Linked DNA regions of Oreochromis niloticus. The protein of the gene in region 1 purifies or fractionates together with the protein of each later gene. This does not show direct contact. Links are inferred from orthologs where the notes say so. Each region holds a gene or a part of one and is shown in the gene's direction. Other genes may lie near its edges. The genes, in order: rpl7l1, rexo4 and pes.

What was found.
Region 2: the proteins of rpl7l1 (region 1) and rexo4 purify together in Homo sapiens (affinity purification with mass spectrometry; 3 studies listed by BioGRID and IntAct, with this or other methods). This does not show direct contact. The link is inferred for Oreochromis niloticus from reciprocal best matches to the Homo sapiens genes RPL7L1 and REXO4.
Region 3: the proteins of rpl7l1 (region 1) and pes purify together in Homo sapiens (affinity purification with mass spectrometry; 4 studies listed by BioGRID and IntAct, counting the BioPlex papers as one, with this or other methods). This does not show direct contact. The link is inferred for Oreochromis niloticus from reciprocal best matches to the Homo sapiens genes RPL7L1 and PES1.

The regions. Positions count from the first base shown.
Region 1 is NC_031980.2:27,061,920-27,068,859, reverse strand, and holds the start of rpl7l1 (60S ribosomal protein L7-like 1), read left to right. Parts: upstream 1-3,855; 5' UTR 3,856-4,184; coding exon 4,185-4,279; intron 4,280-5,000; coding exon 5,001-5,109; intron 5,110-5,227; coding exon 5,228-5,388; intron 5,389-5,465; coding exon 5,466-5,603; intron 5,604-5,693; coding exon 5,694-5,803; intron 5,804-6,940.
Region 2 is NC_031973.2:18,113,256-18,120,974, forward strand, and holds the start of rexo4 (RNA exonuclease 4), read left to right. Parts: upstream 1-4,694; 5' UTR 4,695-4,958; coding exon 4,959-5,168; intron 5,169-5,282; coding exon 5,283-5,614; intron 5,615-5,702; coding exon 5,703-5,867; intron 5,868-7,246; coding exon 7,247-7,440; intron 7,441-7,539; coding exon 7,540-7,628; intron 7,629-7,716; coding exon 7,717-7,719. Other genes in the region: si:dkey-197c15.6 (putative nuclease HARBI1), read right to left, coding at 1-187, 1,675-2,362; pigp (phosphatidylinositol N-acetylglucosaminyltransferase subunit P), read right to left, coding at 3,477-3,592, 3,758-3,876, 3,963-4,035, 4,112-4,193.
Region 3 is NC_031977.2:17,857,601-17,864,573, reverse strand, and holds the start of pes (pescadillo), read left to right. Parts: upstream 1-3,957; 5' UTR 3,958-4,125; coding exon 4,126-4,149; intron 4,150-4,334; coding exon 4,335-4,414; intron 4,415-5,773; coding exon 5,774-5,927; intron 5,928-6,093; coding exon 6,094-6,203; intron 6,204-6,461; coding exon 6,462-6,633; intron 6,634-6,725; coding exon 6,726-6,815; intron 6,816-6,973. Other genes in the region: p2rx2 (P2X purinoceptor 2), read right to left, coding at 1-42, 576-742. UniProt on the Homo sapiens protein: Component of the PeBoW complex, which is required for maturation of 28S and 5.8S ribosomal RNAs and formation of the 60S ribosome.

The DNA.
Region 1 (6,940 bases):
TTCTTTCAAATACCAGAAGTTAGACTTTATATCTTTGTCTGATTATCTCATTTTTAAACATTAAATCAGATGTTATGCTCTGTTACTCAGTACTCAAGTAGCCGTTTTACTAAATACTTTTTTTACTCTTACTAGAGTAATTTCTTAGACGGCTACTTTTTACTTTTGCTTGAGTAAAACTATGTTTAAGTAGTGCTACTATTACTTGAGTACAATTTTTGGCTACTCTACCCACCTCTGACTGGCTCAGAGAACCACTCTTACCTGTGACCATCAAACTTTTCATCACCTCCCTATGACTCCTCCTAAGAATTGGTCTGTAGAGTGGTGCACAGGCATCTCAAGTTATCTCAAGGCATCTGTGATGGCAGTGTAAGACAGGTGGAAGCTGTCCGAGTTATGGGCAATCTGTTAAAACAGGATGGCCAGAGCGAGAGAGTGGACCCAAAATGCAGATTCAGCCAGAGGCACAGTCTTTCTCAATAGTGAAACTTTATTTACAGGCTGTGAAAACGTGACACTTGAAATATCGAGCATGAACTGTGAACTATGGTGTGATGGTGTGAATAGACATGACCAGCATCCAGAAAAACGTGACTATACTGCGAAGGTGAGTAGATGATCCAGAGAATAGTAGAGACATAAGAGATAACAAAGTTAGTGAAGAAGAAGTACAATGAATTCTCATGAAACATAATTGGGCAAGCACTATCAGAGGTTACCAGACATTCTGGCAAAGATTTGTTAAGAGCGCTGGTCTTAAAGGCTGATGAGGCTCCACCTAGAGGTGGAAACCCAGAGCTAATAGAAAAACAGCCACTCACCCGCACCATAACACAATCCTTCATACCCTCTCCATGACACGCTGGATAGTCGGAACACATTCAGCCTCAAACTCTCCCTGTGACACTTGGACTATTTTCACTATTTTCACTTTCACATATTTTGTTTATATTGTATACAGCATAACTTTGGAGTACATATTCAAAACATGTTGTGTCTTCAATGGAGTACCTTATTTTTATTTTTCTATATTTCATATTTATAATTTAATTCAGTGTATGTAGCAAAGCAAATTCTGATGCTGATCTGAATCAAAAGCATTGTAGAGTGGGCAGAACTTTGTAAATTTAATGTAGAATTTTTTCAAAGTAAGTAAGTGTCTTTTGTTGAAGAAAATAAATAAATAAATAAAGAGGAACGACCTCCGTGATCGGGTTATAGCTGCATTCAACTTTCTGAGTAGTGCCAGAGAGAAGGTGTTGTTGGACTTGGACAGAGGAGAATAAAGAAAGGAAGGCAGAACGCCAAGCAGGATTACTGAACTGAAATTATTATTCACAATTGCAAATAAATTACAAAATAAATAATTACATTTTACTTCTTTTTACCACCTAGTCAAACTAGTCCCCAGAGAATATTAATAATGTTACTGACTCATTCTGGTACTACAGAGAATCAAAACAAGCAGACATCTGTGCAGTTTCCTTCCATAGGCCTTCACTGTGATGAACATTTAGATCATTCTACTAACATATCCAGTATACCTGCTACTAAACTAAGGCATGCTGCATATCCAGAAGAGGACGGTCCTAGGAACAGCAAAGATACTGCACAGAACCCTCAGCTTGAAGGATAGACTGCCTGCAGGGGCGAGAGGGGACTTTTTATATATAAGCAGCAGAACCCTGAGAAAGAAGAGGAACAAGAATCATCGTGGAAGGACAGGTCACTGCACAGCTTTTACCGGCAGATAGAAGATGTGGCTGTTAAATAAATTAAATGGTCATTAAAAATGTGTTTAGAATGTATATAAAAATATAGCCCAGTTCCTTTTATGTATACTCATACTTACCCAATAAAGCTGATACTGATGTGTGCAGAATATCTCTGTTGTTGCTGTACTTTATAAAAAAAAAAACTAAGCAGTATTCAGGTCACTTTAAGCAATGCTTAAGATGGCTCACTAGATGGAGCAATACGCTCAGACCTGAAACTGCACATATTCAAAAAGTAGTTCAGTTCAGTTATTTCAGTCAATTATCAGGGAGAAATTAAACTGAAGGAAATCACAGTGCTGACACAGTCACATGAGTTTTGAACACAAAAAAGTATGTCTTAATGTGTGAGCCAAGGTTATTATAGTTGAATTAAACTAAATAAAAACATTTAGTTTTTATTTTCATTTTAGTTCATTCAAACTTAAAAAACTACACTTTTGAAATAAATAAAACCTATATAAAAAGGTTTGGTGAACTAATTGATCCACAGTTAATACAGAACAGAATAAAGTAACCTCTATCATCTTCTTGATGGCACTTTGAGACACAGTAAGTCTCTCTGCTACCATAGTTACTCTATCTGTACAGGGACTGTCCAGCACATAACAGCAGGGTACAAGATGCTAACATGAACGGCATACATGGAAGACCATATACAAGTGGCTGGCAAAGTGTATAAAATACAGGAACATCTATGTTAAGTATGGGCTAAAGTCCCATGGACAAAATGGGATATACCCCACAGGGTGGTTGACAATGACCGGGCTAAGATCCTGCAGACCTCCTGATACAGAATAAATAAATATTTTACTACTGTAGACCCATCACCCCCAGGAGGCATAGTAGGAGTCTGTTGCAATCTGTGCCAGGTAGCAACCAAGGGCAGTGGCTCTGCCAGACAGATCCCCAGCTACCCAGAATGGTACTTGGGATATGGAACGTCGCCTCTCTGAATGGGAAGGAGCCTGAGCTAGTATGTGAGGTTGAGCTATACTGACTATAGTCGAGCTCAACTCAGCGCATGACTTGGGCTCTGGAACCAGTCCCCCGGAGAGGGGCTGGACTCTGTTCCAGTCTGAAGTTGGCCTTGCTGAGAGGTGGTGGGCTGGGGTGGGTATCCTTGTATCCCCTTGGCCTGATGCCTATATTTTGGAGTTTTCGCCATTTCACAATAGGGTCGTTTCCCTGTGCCTTCAGGCCAGGGAACAGATCCTGACTGCCTTTTGTACTTATGCCATATTTTTAAAAAAGTGATTTCATGGACTTTGCTACAGTGAAAGAATTAGGAAAATAATTTGTGTCATCTTTTCATTTAATTTTATGACTTGAAGTGTTCATCCTTCTTAGAGTGTTTGTGCAACCTTTCCACAGTATAGCAGCTTTATAGGGTTTAGAGCCCGAAAATGTGACATGTAGTGCTAAAATGCATCTTAAAGCACGTGTTTTGGATGCCTACACCACAGCTCTGTCTTGTCCTAGGTCTGAAGCAGTTTTTCTGAACAGTTTAAAATATTTTCTGAAAACTGATTATTTCCAAGGCATTTGGAAAGATGTACTGTATGTCTCTTTAAAGGCGATATAAGGAGAATACCATCTTTTTAGGGCGTCTTTGAATTCAACCTATGTAGGTTAATCATTCTCATTTCCACATGATATCCTTTTGTTCCTAACACATTACCCGGTCCATATCAGTATAGATATCCTTTTTTGAGCAGTGTATAAAACACTGAAACCAAAATGGCCATGGTGTGTGGGAACAGGGAGGCATGGCTGAATAACAGTGTATGCTTTATTCACATTCACTAAATAACTCAAACGATTAATATATGAAAATCCAAAATAAGTTTATTTTAGACTTTCATGCAAGGAAGGCAAACCTTAAGTGGTCCTGATAAAAATATTTGTGTAACCCTAGGTCATGCTTGGTGTTAAAACAAATCTTTTACTGTCAGATTTGCATAGATGCAAAGTGAGACAAATGTCTGTGTGGGTTCTCAGCCATCCAGGTGATGGCAGCATTGAGACAGAGCTTGACGAAGGAAACAGGCTTAAAAGGTTCTAAAAACAAAAGGTGGAGAGTCCCGGGAATTTAAACCCTAGTGGGGATTGTCCCATTTGGAGGCGGTTGCATTCGTTCTTGCAACCAATCTGCAGCGGCACAACACGCCAGGTTACAAAAATTAAACCTGGAAAAAGAGTAAGAGATGGGCGGATCGATCCGAACGTCGATAGCATCGATACTAGCATGATGGAATGGACGCTTTAGCTTAGTATTTTGAGGCATGTCTGTGCAGACGGCCGTGGCATCGTCATCACCCCCAATGTACCGCGGCATCTTGTGGCATCACCTTAAAAATGTCAGATCTACACATGATGGCATCACCCCCAAACATGGACCGCTGAATGGAAAGGCTCGACCCGAAACGCTGGGGCAGGTCGAGGTACTGTCTGCTGACGTCATTTGTCCGCGACGAAGAATCTACGATGGCCGAATCAGAGTATGTGTTTGATTTTATAATTGTATCTAAGTTCATCCGTTCGGTTTCCTATGTGTAGCTGTGCTGTTTATGCTTTTCCCGCTAAGTACGAGTCTTAAAGATTCGATTAAGGTGTCTATTTAGAAAGATGATGGGTGAAAAAGGCGTATCTGGAGGAGCTTACTTTCACATGGAGTGTATACCGTCGGTGAACCGAAGGTAGCTCCGAACTGAATAAGTATACCCACGGCCTCCCGACTTGGCGTGACCCCTAAAATTTCTGGGTCATGCTGTTTGAATTTGTGTCAGACAATCCTGTTCTCCCGGCCGTCCTATTACAAGGACGCAAGAAAATCCCTGGGACCTCAGGCTAACTAGGTCCTCATAAACAATTTTTTTTTTTTTTTTTTTTTTTGGAGAAGCAGTCTTAACACACCTATCATACCTGTGATACCCCAGTAAGAAGTAACCCACTGTGGTAACACTGAAAAACCTTAGTTTTAGGGTTGCAACTGAAGCTAGTCAACGCCTCCAGTTCTCCTCCACAGCACAATCTTGTGACTGAGCCGCATTTATTTAAATGGTAAATGGTAAATGGCCTGTATTTGTATAGCGCTTTACTAGTCCCTAAAGACCCCAAAGCGCTTTACACATCCAGTCATCCACCCATTCACGCACACATTCACACACTGGTGATTTAGTTTGTCCAAAGCTTCTTTCTCTTACTTTTTGTTCTCTTCAGGACAAAAAAGGCAATCAAGTTGGTTCCAGAGTATCTTCTGAAAAAGAGGAAGGCATACCAGGCAATCAAAGCCACGCAAGCGAAACTCGCACTGCTCGAGAAGAGAAGGGTAAGTACTGATGCTTGTTACATATATACAATACAATATATACTAACTTTGTAGTTAAAGGCTGTATGGAATTTATGTACTGTTGTGCATTCATGTGTGTATTCCTGTAATGCTGCAGGTGACTAAAGGGAAAATCAAGTTCAAGCGTTTGGAAGATTTCTTAAAGGAAAGCCACACGCAGCATCGGGATGACACCCGCATCCAAAGGGTCAAACAGAGACCGGCTGAACCTCTACCACCAGCCAAGAACAAGCTTGCCTTCGCTGTCCGCATTAGACAGTGAGTACTGGAAAGCAGACACAGGCTTCCAGAACCGGCCGACAGTTTGTTTAACCCAACTGGTTCTCTCCTGTTAGGACTAAAGGCGTCAGTCCTAAAGTGATGAAAGTGATCCAGATGATGAGGCTGAGGAAGATCTTCAGCGGGACCTTTGTCAAAATTAACAAGACCTCCATCGCGATGATGAAGATGGTGGAGCCTTATGTGGCATGGGGGTGAGTGCGTGAGACACCGTGTACTTTGGAGGGTAATGCTGGCTTGAATTTGTGTTCAATCCTCTACATACTGGGCTGTGTGTTGGACAGATTTCCCAACCTGAAGTCGGTTCGTGAGCTCATTCTGAAGAGAGGTCAGACCAGGATAGGCAGGAGGAGAGTTCCCCTCACAGACAACACCTTCATCGAGGAGCACATGGGTGAGTCACTCACACTACAGCCTCCCTCCCCACTCACCTGCAGTCACAGTGCACTTCATTTCAGCTGTGCACCTTCTCTCTCTTTTCATCCCTTCCTCTTTCTCTTCCTCTCTTTCTCCCTCTGTCATACTCCATCGTTCTTTGAAGTGTTATGTAAAATAAAATGCATGGTTCTATTTTTACTTCTTAAATTATTTTTTCCCTTTTTTGAATGCCGACTAGTACTGTTAAAGTTGATGTAATAAATCTGCGACACGAAAGCTACAAAAAAGGTGGAGTTGGAGTCAAGAATATACCTGCTGCTCCATCTGTGGCCTTTCGTCAGACTCAGGGGAACACAAGCATTGTTTTTAGTAGCCATTTCCCTCAATGCCGGGTTTCAAAAATTGCAGTTTTAATTTTCGTGAATTAAAATCACTCTCAGGACTCATCGAGTGACGCCACTGACCAGCCAGTGGGTGCCTTGCAGTCTGACAACATCAAATTTTAGTACCTGCTCAGATGGCTTGGAACCCCGGGCGAGCAGGTGGCAAACCGTGCCGAGTTGATCCTATTAGGTACTAATGGCTATGATGTCCTCTAAAGGGCAGACAAACATAGTTGTGTGTATCAAGGTTTTGCAGACTCATGATCAGTAACAATGTAATGTTAGCTTTCTTGCTAGCACATGTGATAATTAGAAAGGTCCATGACCATCTGGTAACCACCAGATGAGTATATCCCAACCAGTTTTGAGTAGTTGCTGGAGGTTGATGGCAGTTGCCGGGGGGATGATGGCTAAAGCCCCAGTCACACATGCCTACAGATGGTCAGTGACTCCCTGGAAACCACCTCTGTCTCTATATAAAAATATGTACTTTTGGTCCAGTTGGGAAAAATCTCCTTGTGATCTTGTGATTGCTTTGGTTGCTAGCATATTGCTCTGATTGCAGTTTGAATAGAAGTGATGGACTTGTCTACAAACAGCGTCTAGCTGCTCTCCGAGCTGTAGTGAAACAGCTCTGGAAATGGAGAAGGTTCACCTTCAAAGTAATAGTTGCATCTTAGAAACATGTTTACTGTAACACTGAGACACAGCTGTTACTTTGAGGTGAACCATCTCTATTTCTGGTTTGCATTCCACTTTTTCAAATTTTA
Region 2 (7,719 bases), on another chromosome or scaffold:
TTAAGTGAGCCTTCTTGTGCAAAACCAAGTTGCATCAGACACCTGAAACGCCTTTTCATGGAATCCAGTGTCGTCTGCATGACATCGAGGATCTTTGCATGGGCCTCGTTGAAGCGGATCTCGTTGTTGTTCGCGGGCAGTGATACAGGAGTCAAGACGTGCTTGCTTAAGTGGTAGCCTTTCCCACCTTTAAATGAAACATAAGAGAATGCAGTGAATATCAGAGCAGGATAGCATCTCTGAACAATGTGGACCCCTGAAGCAGAATGGCTATAGCAGCAGAAGACCACACAGGTGCCACTCTAGTGAGAGCTCATTCTAAGAACAAGAAACTGAGGCTTCAGTTTGCATGGGCTCACTAAAATTAGGCAATAGCCATTCTTGGAATACTTTGATCCCTGATTACAAACTGAGAATCATCTAAATGCCAGAGCCTATCTGAGTATTGATGCTGACTATGTCCATCCCTTTATGACCACAGTGTACCAATCTTCTACTGACTCCTTTAGACAAGATAGTCGCCATGTCACAAAGCTCAATTCATGTAAAACGGGTTTCTTGAGCATGAAAATGAGTTTCCTGTACTGAAATGGCCTCCACAACTCAAAGTGAGAATCACAGTGAGGAAGAAAGAACTTTGAATGTGAGATGTTAATGCTAGATGGGCTGGTCTAAGTATTTCACAACTGTCTGCTGGGATTTCCTCACACAAGCGCTGGAGTTACATATAATGGTAGGAAAAAGAAAATATCCAGTGAGCAGCAGTTCCCTGGCAGAAAACAGCTTATAATGTTAGAGGTCAGAGAAAAATGGCCAGACTCCTTTGATCTGATAGGAAGGCAAAAGTAACCACAATTGAGGTATGCAGAAGGTCATCTGTGACAACACCTGAAGCCAATGGGCTACTACAGCAGAAGACCACAATGGGTGCAACAGCTGTCAGCTAAAAACAGGAAACTGAGGTCACAGTTTGCACTGGCTCATCGAAACTGGACGACAGAAGAATGGGATGTGGTGATCAGGGAGATTCCCATTATGGATGTGCAGCTGACAAATCTGCAGCAATCTGATATGAATCAAGAAACATTGACCAAAATCTGTGACGAAATTTTCCATCACCCTGTTGAATCTAGGCCATGAATAATAACGTAATAATGCATTAATAACATGTCCAGTAAGTTTATGTGTAAGAAGTTAAAACACTATTTTATTTGTGTTTTATGTAAAAAGAATGAAATATTCCAGAGAAATCAACTGTTTGCCAAGAAGTTAATACTTTTGACAACTGTCAATTTTGCCTTTTTCTGGGAATAGAAACACTAAAGAGCAGATCCGTTCTTTTTGGGAATAACTGTTTTGCATTCATTGCCTTAACTTATATCTGTATCTTTGCATCCCCTCATACACCTCTACTTAATCAAGGGATCTTTACACCTTTCTGGAAGGGTTATTGCTGGGTGACCCATGTAGGGGAAGTGCAGAATTTCAGATAGTTTAGATGATGGGGTGGGGTCTTCCTGGGCGGCTTCTTATTGCTAGGCAACCAGTCGTCATCAGACGCAAACGGATGATAGTTTTGTAGGTTTTTATGCTTGACTTGATACCTCACTGTGCTGTCACTCCAGTTTACATTTCTAAATAAACATTTGCACAAGAGGTCATCACTGCTCTTACCAATCAACCAAAACGGGCTGTGCAGGTCCTCTTGCATTTCCCTTCCTTTAAAGGAGGAGTCCCACATCTCTTGCTCAAACGTGCCACCAACACAGCACTTTTCAACACTCAGTATGTTGCCGTCGCAGTCGCATATGATCTGGCTTACAACCGATGTGTAACCCAGGGCATTGATAAAAGACCTGAAGGCGTCTTTTTCATATGGAGATGCTCTGATCTTGAAGTGCGCAGGAGCCAGGACGCCCAGCACGTTTGGGATTCCGCAGAATTTCTCTATCTTTAATGCGACGTTAGTTCTGGCGTCCAGGGTTAGCGGGAAAGAGATGAATACATCGGACATCCCTGCTATGACTCCCGAGATTGTACCAACCACAGTCGTGGGGCACTCCGTCTGCCTCAGTCCGGCTTTCTGCAGCACAGCAGTGGTGGAGACCCCATGTGCGTAATAATTGAGCGCCACCATGACCATCTCGTCCACGGGCAGCTGGGATTTCTTGGGGGCGGCGTCCTTCATGCGGATGCGGACGGCGTCTGCGATAAACAGGATGCAGGGTCTGCTCAGGTGGAACAACTGAAAAAGAGCTTCATCGTCGAAAGTGTCAAAGCAGCTCGAAGCTCCGTAGTCTGCCTCGTTTTGTGCCAGGAGCTCCTCCTGGACCGCAAGCCAGACAGGCACGGCGAAAGCCATTAGTTTTTACTCCGATGTATTTAAACAAGCAAAGATCCCCCACGGCGTGCCCGAAATCGTTCCCAAACAACGTCTTCTTCTCCTTTGGCTTGGCAGACTGGACGCTGGGCGGCGTGCTGCTGCCCTCTGCTGTTCACTTGTGTCCCTGTTTCGACATCTGTGTTGTTATATATTGCAGGATTATGCGGACACTCGCCCAGTTTCGTAATCTTATTCCGGTTATGCAGGCTGATTAAAGCGCAACAACAAATCTCCTGGTTGCCTCGTCTTTGTTTAACGTTTAAGCTAAAGCGATCCGTTATCGCCACCTAGTGGACAGCAATAAAAAACATTTGAAAAAGACTGCAGTTCACAATGTGTAAACCAGTTGTGTGGAAAAATCCCAGCAGATCAGCGGTTTCTGAAATACACAGACCAGCCCATATGTCATCAACAACCATAACGTTGAAAGTCACTAAAATTACACACCGTCTTGACCATGTCTACATAACTAAATGCACTGAGTTTCAGATATTAGATATTTGTGTTAACAAGCAGTTAAACAGGTGTACCTAATAAAGTGGCTGGTGACCAAAAACCAAAAATGTAGTGTGGGATAAAATGCTAAAAACTACCTCTTATTCTCTGGGATAATCAAGTGCAGATGTTCATTTGCAGCTTTAGTAAGATTTGGATGGGCATAAATAATTATCTGGAGCCACTTTTATTCTAGACCGACATTTCTGACAGGCATTAAAGTATTAGAACAAAATAAGATGTTCCTTTCTTCTAGCAGTGGACTTAAAAATAAAAGAATTAACATAAAAATATGATTATTTATGACATGTTTATTGCACAGAATAATAAATATAAACATTCTGTATTTTAACATAGACAGCACAGCCATTTACTGTTGTTTTCATTCAATATACATCTTATTGTGACCAGTGTGTTCGGATACAGAATTCACATTTAACCATTATAAAGATGCTTAAACAATAAAAAAGTCAACAGAATATATCTTCTTATAAATAAGGCACAAAACATTTCATAAAAAAAGACAAACAGTAACACCAAAATAAAACCCCTGCAGCTTTACTTCTTCTCTGTCCACAGCAGTATCAGACTGTGCTTGTTACATACTGGGTGATAAATAGAACATTTTGTTGACTTCACTAATGGACACATCCTTCAATCGGGGTATTCCACCGTTACGGCAGGACTCGGTGCTCTGGCCTTGTGCATACACATCTGTGACAGAAAAAAGACATTTAACAATCAGGAAATTCTGAAAATGTGGCATGGCTGTTGGTGGCAGACGGGCTGGTCCGAATATTTCAGAAGCTGGTAATCTGCTGGGATTTCCCCCACACAACAATCTCTGACATCAACAAAACATTTTGTTGACGTCCTCACCTGTGATGTTGTCCACAGAGTCCAGCGGTGCCGTGTTGCGCATGTTCACACCGAATAACAGTATGAAACAGACTGTTATTGCGACCAGCAAGTAGATTGGCATCGCAAGAGCCCAGTATCTAAACAGAACACACATTTGACACTGTCGTGAAACTGTGCAGGTGCTTCCCCAGTGATCCATTTATCTCAGAGCAGTTCTACTTACTTTTGAGGCCAGTAAGTGAGCCCTATTGAATGAAGCCACTCCTCTGGCACGAAAGCCCATAAGCAATACAGAACTGTGGAGAGACGCAGTGAGTATTACAGACATGCACTGCTTGAACTCCTGTTTGTGTTTTGGATTGATTCACTTACAGAAGCCAAACTGTGATCCGAGGAAGAGAACAAACCCATAAATGGCCCTCTCAGGCAGAGGAGATGGAGAGTTTTCCACCATGATCTACAACCAAAACACAGACAGAAAGGTGTGGGAGAGCAACGAGACAGCAATAAAACATTCAGGCCCCAAAGAGAAGTTACATACCTGGAAATACGTTTTTTCTTTGCTCCTTTAAACCCTAACTTTACTCAGATTTTTAACATTAATTACCACGTTAATTATATGCCTGATGATTATCAAAAGCAATACAAAATGGGTTTAACACGTCTATCAAAACCCACTGTGCCTTTTTTACATTAGTGCTATGAAGCCTTCCGCAACGGTCCGTCACTTTTCCTCAGAACGATGCGAAACTTTTTCTAAAACATTAGTTCCGCCATTGAATCGCTCACAAAACAAGCGTCAAAACATGACTTTTTTACGTTTATCATATAAAATTTCACATTTATATAATTGTAAAGCAAAAGCACGGTCGGAGATTTTTTTTTCACATCTTACTGACGTGACGCACTTGAGCTACAGCACGACGTCATGTTTGTGACGGACATATTTCACTGTTGCACATCGTGGAAAAACACTCAACGGCATGGCTTCGGAGAGAGTTAAGTTTTACGAGTAAGCGATTTTATGTACAGTTCAGGGACGTGCTTCAGTAATGCTCGTGTGCTGGCCGAAAGGTGAGCTTAGTCTGGGGGAGACATTTCTTACTGTCTGAAGTTGTTTGGCAACTCAAGTAACGGACATCTGACAAGCCAGCGTGGCTTTACACACCTCACCACGAAAAATATAAGGAGGTGAGGATACATGAGATAGGTGATCATAATGTCTAAGGTGGAGAAACAGAAAAAACAGTTTCCCGCTAAAGCACGTAAGCGGAAACCTAATAAGAAAAACGGCATATTAAAAAAGAACGAGAGGCAGTGGTTTTACTCAGCTCCTGCAAACAAGGAGCAAGAAAAGCCTACAGCTCCACAAACTGCTCCTCCAAAAGACTCCCAGCAGTTCTCTGCCAACTGGAAAGCACTTCAAGAGGTCAGTGAGTGCAGTAGTTTGATATCCATGCATGTCCTGTCACACAATTTGGTTTTTGTGTGCCTGTGTTTAATACTACCCACAGGTTTTTCTCCCTTATTTTCCTCCCTTCAGGTGTTGAAGGCCAGTCAGTCAGAGAAGAAGCAGCCAGTGGCACCGAAACATCAGAACGGCTTCTTGCCAAAGAAGGTCCAAGAAAATACTTCTAAAATAATTTCTAAGAACAATGCTGGACCAAGCCAGAGAGACACTGAGAAAAAAGCGGATCACAAAACTGTGCCTAAGAGTTTTGTCTCCGGTAAGACTGGGGTCAACTCAAAGGTGTTGGATGTCTCGAAGACTAAACATGCTACTGCTCCAAAAAGAGAGCGGGATAGCGGGAAGCCAAACAGCCTACAGGCAGCTAAGAAGAAGAAGCTTGAATCCGAGGAGACAAAGCCCACAGAGTATGTATATATTAGCACTGAAGTTGACTCATTTATTCAGCAAGAATATTTTTGTCTGATAATCCCATCTCATTCTCTGCTGTTGCAGAGAGGACCTTTGGTTTGATGACGTGGACCCGGATGACATTGAGGCGACAATGGGAGCAGAAGCAGCCGAGATCATGAGGAAGAAGCAGGGCAAGGCCAAGGGTACGGATGGTGCCTCGGCTAAGGACACGGAGAAGAGCCTGGTTAAGGAGAATGCTTTTGAAGGGTAAGTCGCTGTGCATTCAGTGTACAGTGAGAACCACACTCAGAATACAGCGGGCAGCTTTGATGCCATTTTAGAAAAGTGCGTGAAAATATTCCCGGGGAAAGATGCACGCCTTAACAGCGATTATAAAAAATATCAAGTCCCTAATGTCATTACTTCTCTCAATACAAGTATTTCACAGGAATGTTGCTGCCGTGGTGTTATTAGCTGGCTGTGAGTAACTGTGGATGTAATATTAACAATGTGGATTTGGCACATGATGTCATACTTGGGAAATGTCACACAAAATGTGTTTTTCCCAACATATAGACTTTAATATCTCTGAAACCGCTCAACTGACTCGGCCTGTTTAAACAACATTATGTGCCTCATGCATAAGAAGCTCAAAGTAAATGATCAATCCCCCCCCCACCTTCTACAGTTCTCTGGATCTGCTGTCAAAGATCAGACATCCAATTATTTTAGGGACTCCTTCTGTATGAAGTTGAGCTACACTCCTGAGGAGATGGAGACTGTTTTTTTCCCCCTCAGTGGAGAGCTTCATGGAGCTTTCCTTCAAGGAGTCAAGTATTACATATAGTCTGTGATAAATACTTTTGCCATTGCATGTTTTAGTGAATTGTCTGGACAGAGCATGAAGTAAACATGGTTGCTGACTGTTTTCTGCGGGTTATGGAGATGGATAAATTGTTGAATGGAATTTATACAATTAAATCCTTCACTGCGGTGACGTAGCCTGTCAATACAGCTTCAGAGCTCACTACATTGCTGTGGAAAATCATTGATAATACAGATAAATGCTGTGGAAAAACCTGTGACCCCTGATGGATGAATGGATGGATGCATTCTGAGCTAGGTCACAAAAGGTATGACCCTATTATGCTGTGTCTGCCGGTCATGCGCCTCTCAATTTTGTAACCTGAAGCGTTGAGCAAGGGTTAAAGACGAGAGTGTACGATTGTATCAGTTTTTACAATCATTTTAAGGATATTCCGCCACAAAAACTCAGAGACATGCAGATATACAGAGAAGGAGATGTAGGAACAGTGTGAAAACTTGAGTTTGTGGAAAAAACTGTGGAAAAAAAACCTCGACAAAGTCTCGGCTTCCGATTTTGACAACTTCTCCTCCTGTGTCAGCACTTATGTGGCGATATTGTCTGATTGCTGACACCTGTCATTCAGGAGAATACTGCAGCAGCTTCCTGCGCCTTCATGGCGGGTATAAATACGACTGACTGTGAGATAGTCTTGCTGGAGCGAGCAAAGCGACCTTTGCGTTTGGTGTACTGGGGCCTTTACATTGAGGTGTTTACGTTGAGACAGAAGATGATGATTGTCATGTCTCTCCTTTCTTGTCACTTTGTCGTTCACCTTAAGCCTCACTAAAGCGGTGGCCATTGACTGTGAGATGGTGGGAGTTGGTCCTGATGGAGAGGACAGCATCTTGGCACGTGTGTCAATTGTGAACCAGTTTGGGAAGTGCATCTATGACAAATATGTGAAGCCCACAGAGAAGGTAACAGACTACAGGACAGCTGTCAGCGGCATCCGGCCAGAGGACATCAAAGATGGTGAGAGAAATGAAATGAGTTGCAAAGAACAACTGAAAGTCTCTTTGTTTCTTATGTTGTGTTTCTGATGTTTTTTAAACCACGTTTGTCTCTCTGCAGGAGCGGATGTACAGATTGTACAGAGGGAGGTTGCTAACATCCTGGAAGGGAGACTAGTGGTTGGACACGCCATACACAATGATCTAAAGGTAGCATGGATGTGATATCGGAAATAGAACAAATGTAATATTTTTCTTAGCCTGATTATGAGCAGCCACAAACTATCTCCTGTTTCAGATT
Region 3 (6,973 bases), on another chromosome or scaffold:
GTTTCACTCTCTTGGTATGCTTTCTGACTTATAAAGACATACCTTCAGGATGATAGAAGAGACAGAGGTAATATCACATTTTCTACCATGATGTCAATTTTTATTGGCGGTGTCATGTTACCCTGGATCTGCTCAGCCCTCTTTGCTGAAGACAAAAAAGGTGATGATGTACTTTCAGATGCTCACTTCAGAGCATTTAGTTTATTTCAAATCTGAAACACTTTACATCTGTTCTCCTTGGATAGCATTTAAATCTCTGATAATATAGAGACTGGATGAGTCACACTCAGTTGGATAGTTGAATTTTATGCTGTTAATTGCAAATGGGATGCATTTCCTCCCCACAAAACTGCACTGCATTAGTTAAAATTTAAAGCCGTAGTGTATTTATTTCATCTGCATGAATATTATTCATTTAAAAAATGCTTTTAATTTTACTGTAATTAAATTTAAAAGAAAACACATTCAGACCAACAGATCTAACAGAAAAAATGTAGAAAAGACAAAATAAACCTGAATTTCATACATTGTCCACACACCCAGTCATTAGACATGCAAATGTAAGTGAAGCTTACCATATGAAATAAGTGATCACAAGAAACTGAACACTCCTGTAAATCACGCCAAGAGTTCTGTTCTTAACCACCATCACCTTGGGGGTCTCATAGTCCCAAAAACCATGAATATACTCCTTCAGGAAGTTATGTAGCCCCATGATGATTTTATGGCATGTTTCCGTCATATCCTCAGATGTTCTTGTGAAGTCTTATGATTGAATCTGTATATTTAGCTTTAAATTTCTGTCATCATGTCTTTTTCTCAGCTCCAGCCTGCATTTCTCTCAAGCATCCCTGGCACCAGTGAGTGAACAAGAGAGTAGGGGGTGGGGTCCTGATGTGGTTGAAGGCAGGATTCATTTTTTATGCCACTCTATTCTGATAAATCAGCTTTATGCCTGGATCAGTTTCTCCCTGTGCAAGACTCTTTTAACTCTCATCTTCTTGTTATTAGTTTTTTATCTTTTCTTTTTACATACTGTCTTACTTTGCACATACATTGTTTTAAATTGTCAAAATTTGCAGATCTATTAATTGCTTGAAATTACTGGTTTTGATCAGAGTGTGTTGGTCTGGATTTTTATGAGCAACGGTCAAACCTGCAGAAAGGTGTGACGAAAAAAGGGATGCCGAAGAAGTACAACAACCTGTCCATACCTGAGGTCTTAGAAACTGCCAAGCAAAGACTCACAGCCTTGGGTAGCTGCTTGAAAAGGTATACCAGAAAGTTCGAAGCCAGGAGAATAAACCATTCAAGGTACTCTCAGTGGCAGGGAAACAATATGAGAACAACAGCCTCACCAATGCTGGAGACCTAGCAGTACTGGAAGACCATGTGCGAGATGCAACTTATAGCAATAATGCTCAGTGGCTAGTGGCTCTAAGAGCAGACCACAGCAACCTCCCTGGATAAGATCCAGTAACCATCACAGCAGTAGGCATCCAAGAAAGGGTCATAAGCATGAAGATTTGGACAGCACCAGGCCTTGACATGATACACAGATACTGACTAAAGAAGCTAACTGCCCTTCATGAATCTCTGAAGCACAAATGAACCACCTGCTAATGGATGAGACACGACGAGAATGGCTAACTGAAGGCCGGACAGTCCTGACTGGTCCTATCCAACTACTAGCCAATAACTTGCTGCAGTACATGGAAGCTTCTGTCAGGCATCATAGCAAAATGAACAGGCACATGGCTCAATACATGAGCAGGGCAGGAATTGGCAGAAAAACTCAGTGGGGGGGAAACAACAGCTACTGGTAGACAGATCAGTAACTGTAAGACCAGACCGACCAACCTATGCACTGCCTGGACTGACTTCAAGAGAGCCTCTGACTCAATGACTTACATGTGGATCCTGGAATGCCTAGAACTGTACAAGTGCTTTTTCTACCCAATCAGAGCGTTCAGAGCGCTTTATACAGCATGCCTCATTCACCCATGCACACCCATTCATACAAGCACTTTTTCTATGCTTAAGTGTTTTCTATCAAACATTTACACTTGAGATGGATGCATTGGAGAGCAACAAGGTGTTAGTATCTTGCCGAAGAATATTTGGCATGTAGTCTGGAGCAGCCAGGGATCAAACCACCAAGCTTCCAATTAGTAGATACTCTACCTTCTGAGCTACAACCACCCCTGTACATCAGGAAGATGCCAACGAATGACCACGTGCTTAGTGAATACCTCAGGCAGCAGAAACATGAGAAATAGAAAGGGCAAGAAGAGGAACCATCATGGAAGGACAGGCCCCCATACAGCATGTACCACCAGCAGATAGAAGAAGTGTCTATTATCAAGAAATCCAACCAATGGCTGAAAAAAGCTGTACTGAAAGACAGCACAGAGGCACAAATCATGGCAGCGCAGGAACAAGCTCTAAGTACAAGATCCATAGAGGCAATGGTGTACCACACCAGGCAAGACCCCAGGTGCAAGCTGTGCAAAGATGTCCCTGAGACACTCCAACACATAACACCAGGGTGCAAGATGCTAGATGGCAGCAAATCCAGGTAGCTGGTATATAGAGAAATATCTGTGCCAAGTATGGCCTGAAAGTCATGAGGTCAAAATGTGATATGCCCTCCATGGTGGTTGATGATGACTGAGCTAAGAGCCTGCCAGTTACAGACAGACAAACTGGTGATGGCTAACCAACTGGACATAGTAGTGTTGGACAAGCAGAGGAAGATGGCCACAGTGAAAGATGTTGCTAGGATAACATTTTCAGGAAGAAGAAACACAAGAAGCTCAAGAAATACCATGGGTTGAGAGAAGAGCTTAAGAAGATGTGGAGGGTGAAGGCAACAGTGGTCCCAGTGGTAATCAGAGCACTCAGGATAGTGACTCCCAAACTGGGCAAGTGGCTTGAGCAGATCCCAAGAATGATATTCTAGATCTCTGTCCAGAAGAGTGTAGTCCTGGGAACAGCAAAGATACTGTACAGGACCCTCAAGCTTCCAGGCCTCTGGTAGGGGACCCAAGCTTGAGGCATAAAGACTGCCTGCAGGGCGAACAGGTACCTTTATTATATATAGTAATATAATAAAAAATAGTGCTGTCACTTATAGTTGTGGTCAGAAGTTTACATACACTCATCCTGGCTATTAATGTGATGGTAATTTTGAGCTTTTAAAGATGAAACAAGAACTTAGTGCACAAGTTTGAATTTATTTTGGATTTTCTCCAATCCTTAAACATAAAAAGCTTAAACATATACACTCGCTTAATTCTTAAATGATGCTGACACTTATATGACCTATGAACTTATTTTTAGTGATAATGACTGGCTACAAGTGGTAGTTTCTCTTTCCGTCATAAAAAGGTGTTTTTTTGTTTGTTTGTTTGTTTGTTTGTTTGTTTGTTTGTTTGTTTGTTTTAAGCGCTTATTGTATTACGGAAGCGTAGAGCTGCCACCCAGGCAAAAGAAAAATAGAAGTATATCACGTTATAACGTGAAAAGTTTATTGTTCTAACAAGATACTTTTCATGTTTGTACAATATACTTTCATGTTTGTACAATATACTTTTGACGTTTGAACAATATAATATGACGTTATTACAATATACATAATTATCACGTTCGTACAATATAAATATCACGTTCGTACAATATAAATATTATATTGTACGAACGTGATAATTATGTATATTGTAATAACGTCATATTATGTTGTTCAAATGCGAAAAGTATCTTGTTAGAACAATAAACTTTTCACGTTATAACGTGATATACTTCTATTTTTCTTTTGCCTGGGTGGCAGCTCTACGCTTCCGTAAAAAGCACACGCCATTGATGAGTGTATGTAAACCTTCCATACAGTGTATGTACGAATGTTTCACGTCCAAAACCCTTTTGCGGCTTTCCTTTGTAAACAGGCAGATCAACGGCCCACCCATGGGTCCTGCTGTTTGGGCCATCTCCTTCGCGCATGTCAAGCCGCACGTGCATTTGCTGCGTGTCGTGTCGGTCGTTGTTGTGTAACATTGCGAATCGTGTACTTTGTGAAAACAACTACAATTGGATAAAACTCTGTGGAGGGTTAGAAACGGTCTCTAAATGGGAGGTCTTCAAAAGAAAAAGGTAGGTGTGGGTGTTCGTGTAATGTCGGGCGTTTTATTACCAAAAGTCTGACTATCCAGTTAGCTAACAGCTAGCTGAAGTTTGTTTTTCTCAAACAGTAGATTCTCCTGGACTCGGGTGAGCTTATGTGCCTTGTTAACACATACTGTTTGTGCTGAATATGAGCATCTTCCTATGTTTTCCAGTTTGAGAGGGGCTCTGCCACCAACTACATCACCAGAAACAGAGCTCGAAAGAAGTTGCAGCTCAGCCTCCCGGACTTCAGGTAACGTTGCAGTTAGCATTTTTACACGTGTGTGTGTGTGTGTGTGTGTGTGTGTGTGTGTGTGTGTGTGTCTGTCTGTCTGTCTGTGTTTTAAATCACGATATATTCATACCCCGACGCCACTATATTAGTTTCTCGTTATTGTATAGTAGCTAACGCTTTCTGGGTGGAAAAAGGTGCTAGGGCCCATTTACAACACAGTCTTTAAAACTCAACTCAGTGGGTTTTCTTTGTTTGTTTGTTGTGAAACTGTGTATTGAACTGTGCTGTGTATTGAACAAGGTAGACATGTGTGCAGAGTCAAACAAAAGTGCATTTCTTTTCGGCTCCTGGCTTTGGAGGTCACAACAGTAGTCCCTAGCATCCTCCTCTTTCACATCAACACTCTGCATGTACTTCGCTACATCCATGAATCTCCTCTGTGGTCTTCCTCTTTTCCACCTGCCAGACATCTGCTCCATCAACATCCTTTGTCCAGTAATCATCCACCGTCCCTCCTCTACACATGTCCAAACCATCCCAGCCTTGTTTCTAACTTTGTCTCTGCTCAATCTTAGCAGTCCCTTTGATGTACTCAATTCTTACATTCCTACTGTAAAGTTGAAAATCTCAGCAGCTCTACCAGCTTGGCCTCCTGTCCAAATTATACTTCACAGCAGGTCTCACTACCATCTTGCAATCCTTAGCTGTCATTCTTGCTGCTATCCGTCTGCCACAAATCACCCCTGACCTTCATTTCCATCTGCCCTGCACTCTCTTCTTAACCTCTCTTGTGCACTGTTGCTTTGGATGGTTGACCCCAGCGTTAAAACTCCTCTTTCACTACTTCTGCTTCTCGCATCTTTGAAAAAAGTGAGTGAAATGCAAAAAGTATTAATGCATCCTCAAAAGTGAAGCAAAGTTTAATTAGCATTTCAGTAAAAACCTTGTTACCTTCAACAAGGAACAATGTATTGACGCCCAAGTTAGTGAGATAAAGTTATGTTAGTAGTTAATAATGGATCTGCACCTAGTGATATTCTTTATGATCAGCACTATATCCATAAATCACATCTGACATATAATGTGCATATATTAATTTAACAAAAAATTCTGAGGTGTCTTAAATTTTTAGTGAATGTGATCAGAATATTTGGCAGTGGCTGGTAATTTCAAAATAAATCCCTGGTTTTGAAAATGTTACTCTCCATGCCAATATTACTAAGATTTTTTTATAAACACCAGATTAGTTTCTGTTTCTGTTACATCACAGCAACTTACTTTTCTCCAAGTTTGTTCCAAATCTCGATTTCCAGTTGCAAGGCTTTCCCAGAAAGGAACCTTGTTGCAGACAAATGATTTCTCTTCTCTGATTTTCAGGCGACTTTGCATTCTCAAAGGCATATATCCTCATGAGCCAAAGCACAAGAAGAAGGTGAACAAAGGCTCTACAGCCCCAAGGACCTTCTACCTGCTCAAGGACATCCGCTTTCTGCTCCATGAGCCAATTGTTGGAAAATTCAGAGAGTACAAGGTATCTTACATAAGAAACCAGTGCCTTAGTGTGCTTTACCTCTACAAAAAGGATATTTAAAACACTTTGTTTTAATCAGTTTTTCCTCATCATGTCTTTGTTTTATAGTTTGATTTAAATTTGGTTGACAGTCTTTTTTTGTACCTGTGTTATTTTCTTTTTATAGATATTTGTGCGTAAGCTTAAGAAGGCTTATGGAAAAACAGAGTGGTCTGCAGTGGAAAGACTGAGAGAGAACAAGCCAACCTATAAATTGGATCACATCATCAAAGAAAGGTGGGGTGGTTATTCTTCACACTGAACATAAGAGGGCACAGTTGATCTTTTTTTCTCTGCCACTGTATGAATTAAATTGAAATTGTAGGGTAACAGTAGGACAGGATCTTTAGTAGTCTGTCAGTAGATTTTTTTTAAAGCTTTAATTGAAATTTAACAGATTTTTTTTTTTTTATTTGAAAGGGAAGATGTTTTTGTTAAAAACACAAAACAAAAACAAAACCTCACAAATATTGTTTGTGCTTCTTTTTTTGGCAGGTATCCAACCTTCATTGATGCCCTCCGTGATATCGACGATGCCCTCTGCATGTGCTTCCTCTTCTCCACTTTTGCTCGAACAGGAAAATGTCATGTGCAGACAATCCAGCTGTGCAAACGGCTCACTGTGGAGTGGATGAACTATGTGATCACATCACGTTCTCTGCGAAAGGTGCAAGTTCACCAGCCTGTTATTGATCTGACTCAGTGAGAGTTGATTGACCTGTGTTCTGTAATGCACTAAATGTTTGTCTACTTTGATAGGTTTTCCTCTCCATCAAGGGAATATATTATCAGGCTGAGGTGATGGGACAGCTCATTACATGGGTGGTGCCATATCAGTTCTCCCATGATGTAAGTGCAGTTTGGCAAATTGCAGTCAACAGGGACAGTGCTAATAATAAGCAGTCACTTTATTACTGTGGGGTTATAACATAGGTTGCCAGGCAAACATCGTAAATAAAAAATTGTCCTTAATGACTTGCCTGCTCATTAAGAATCAGAAATGTGTG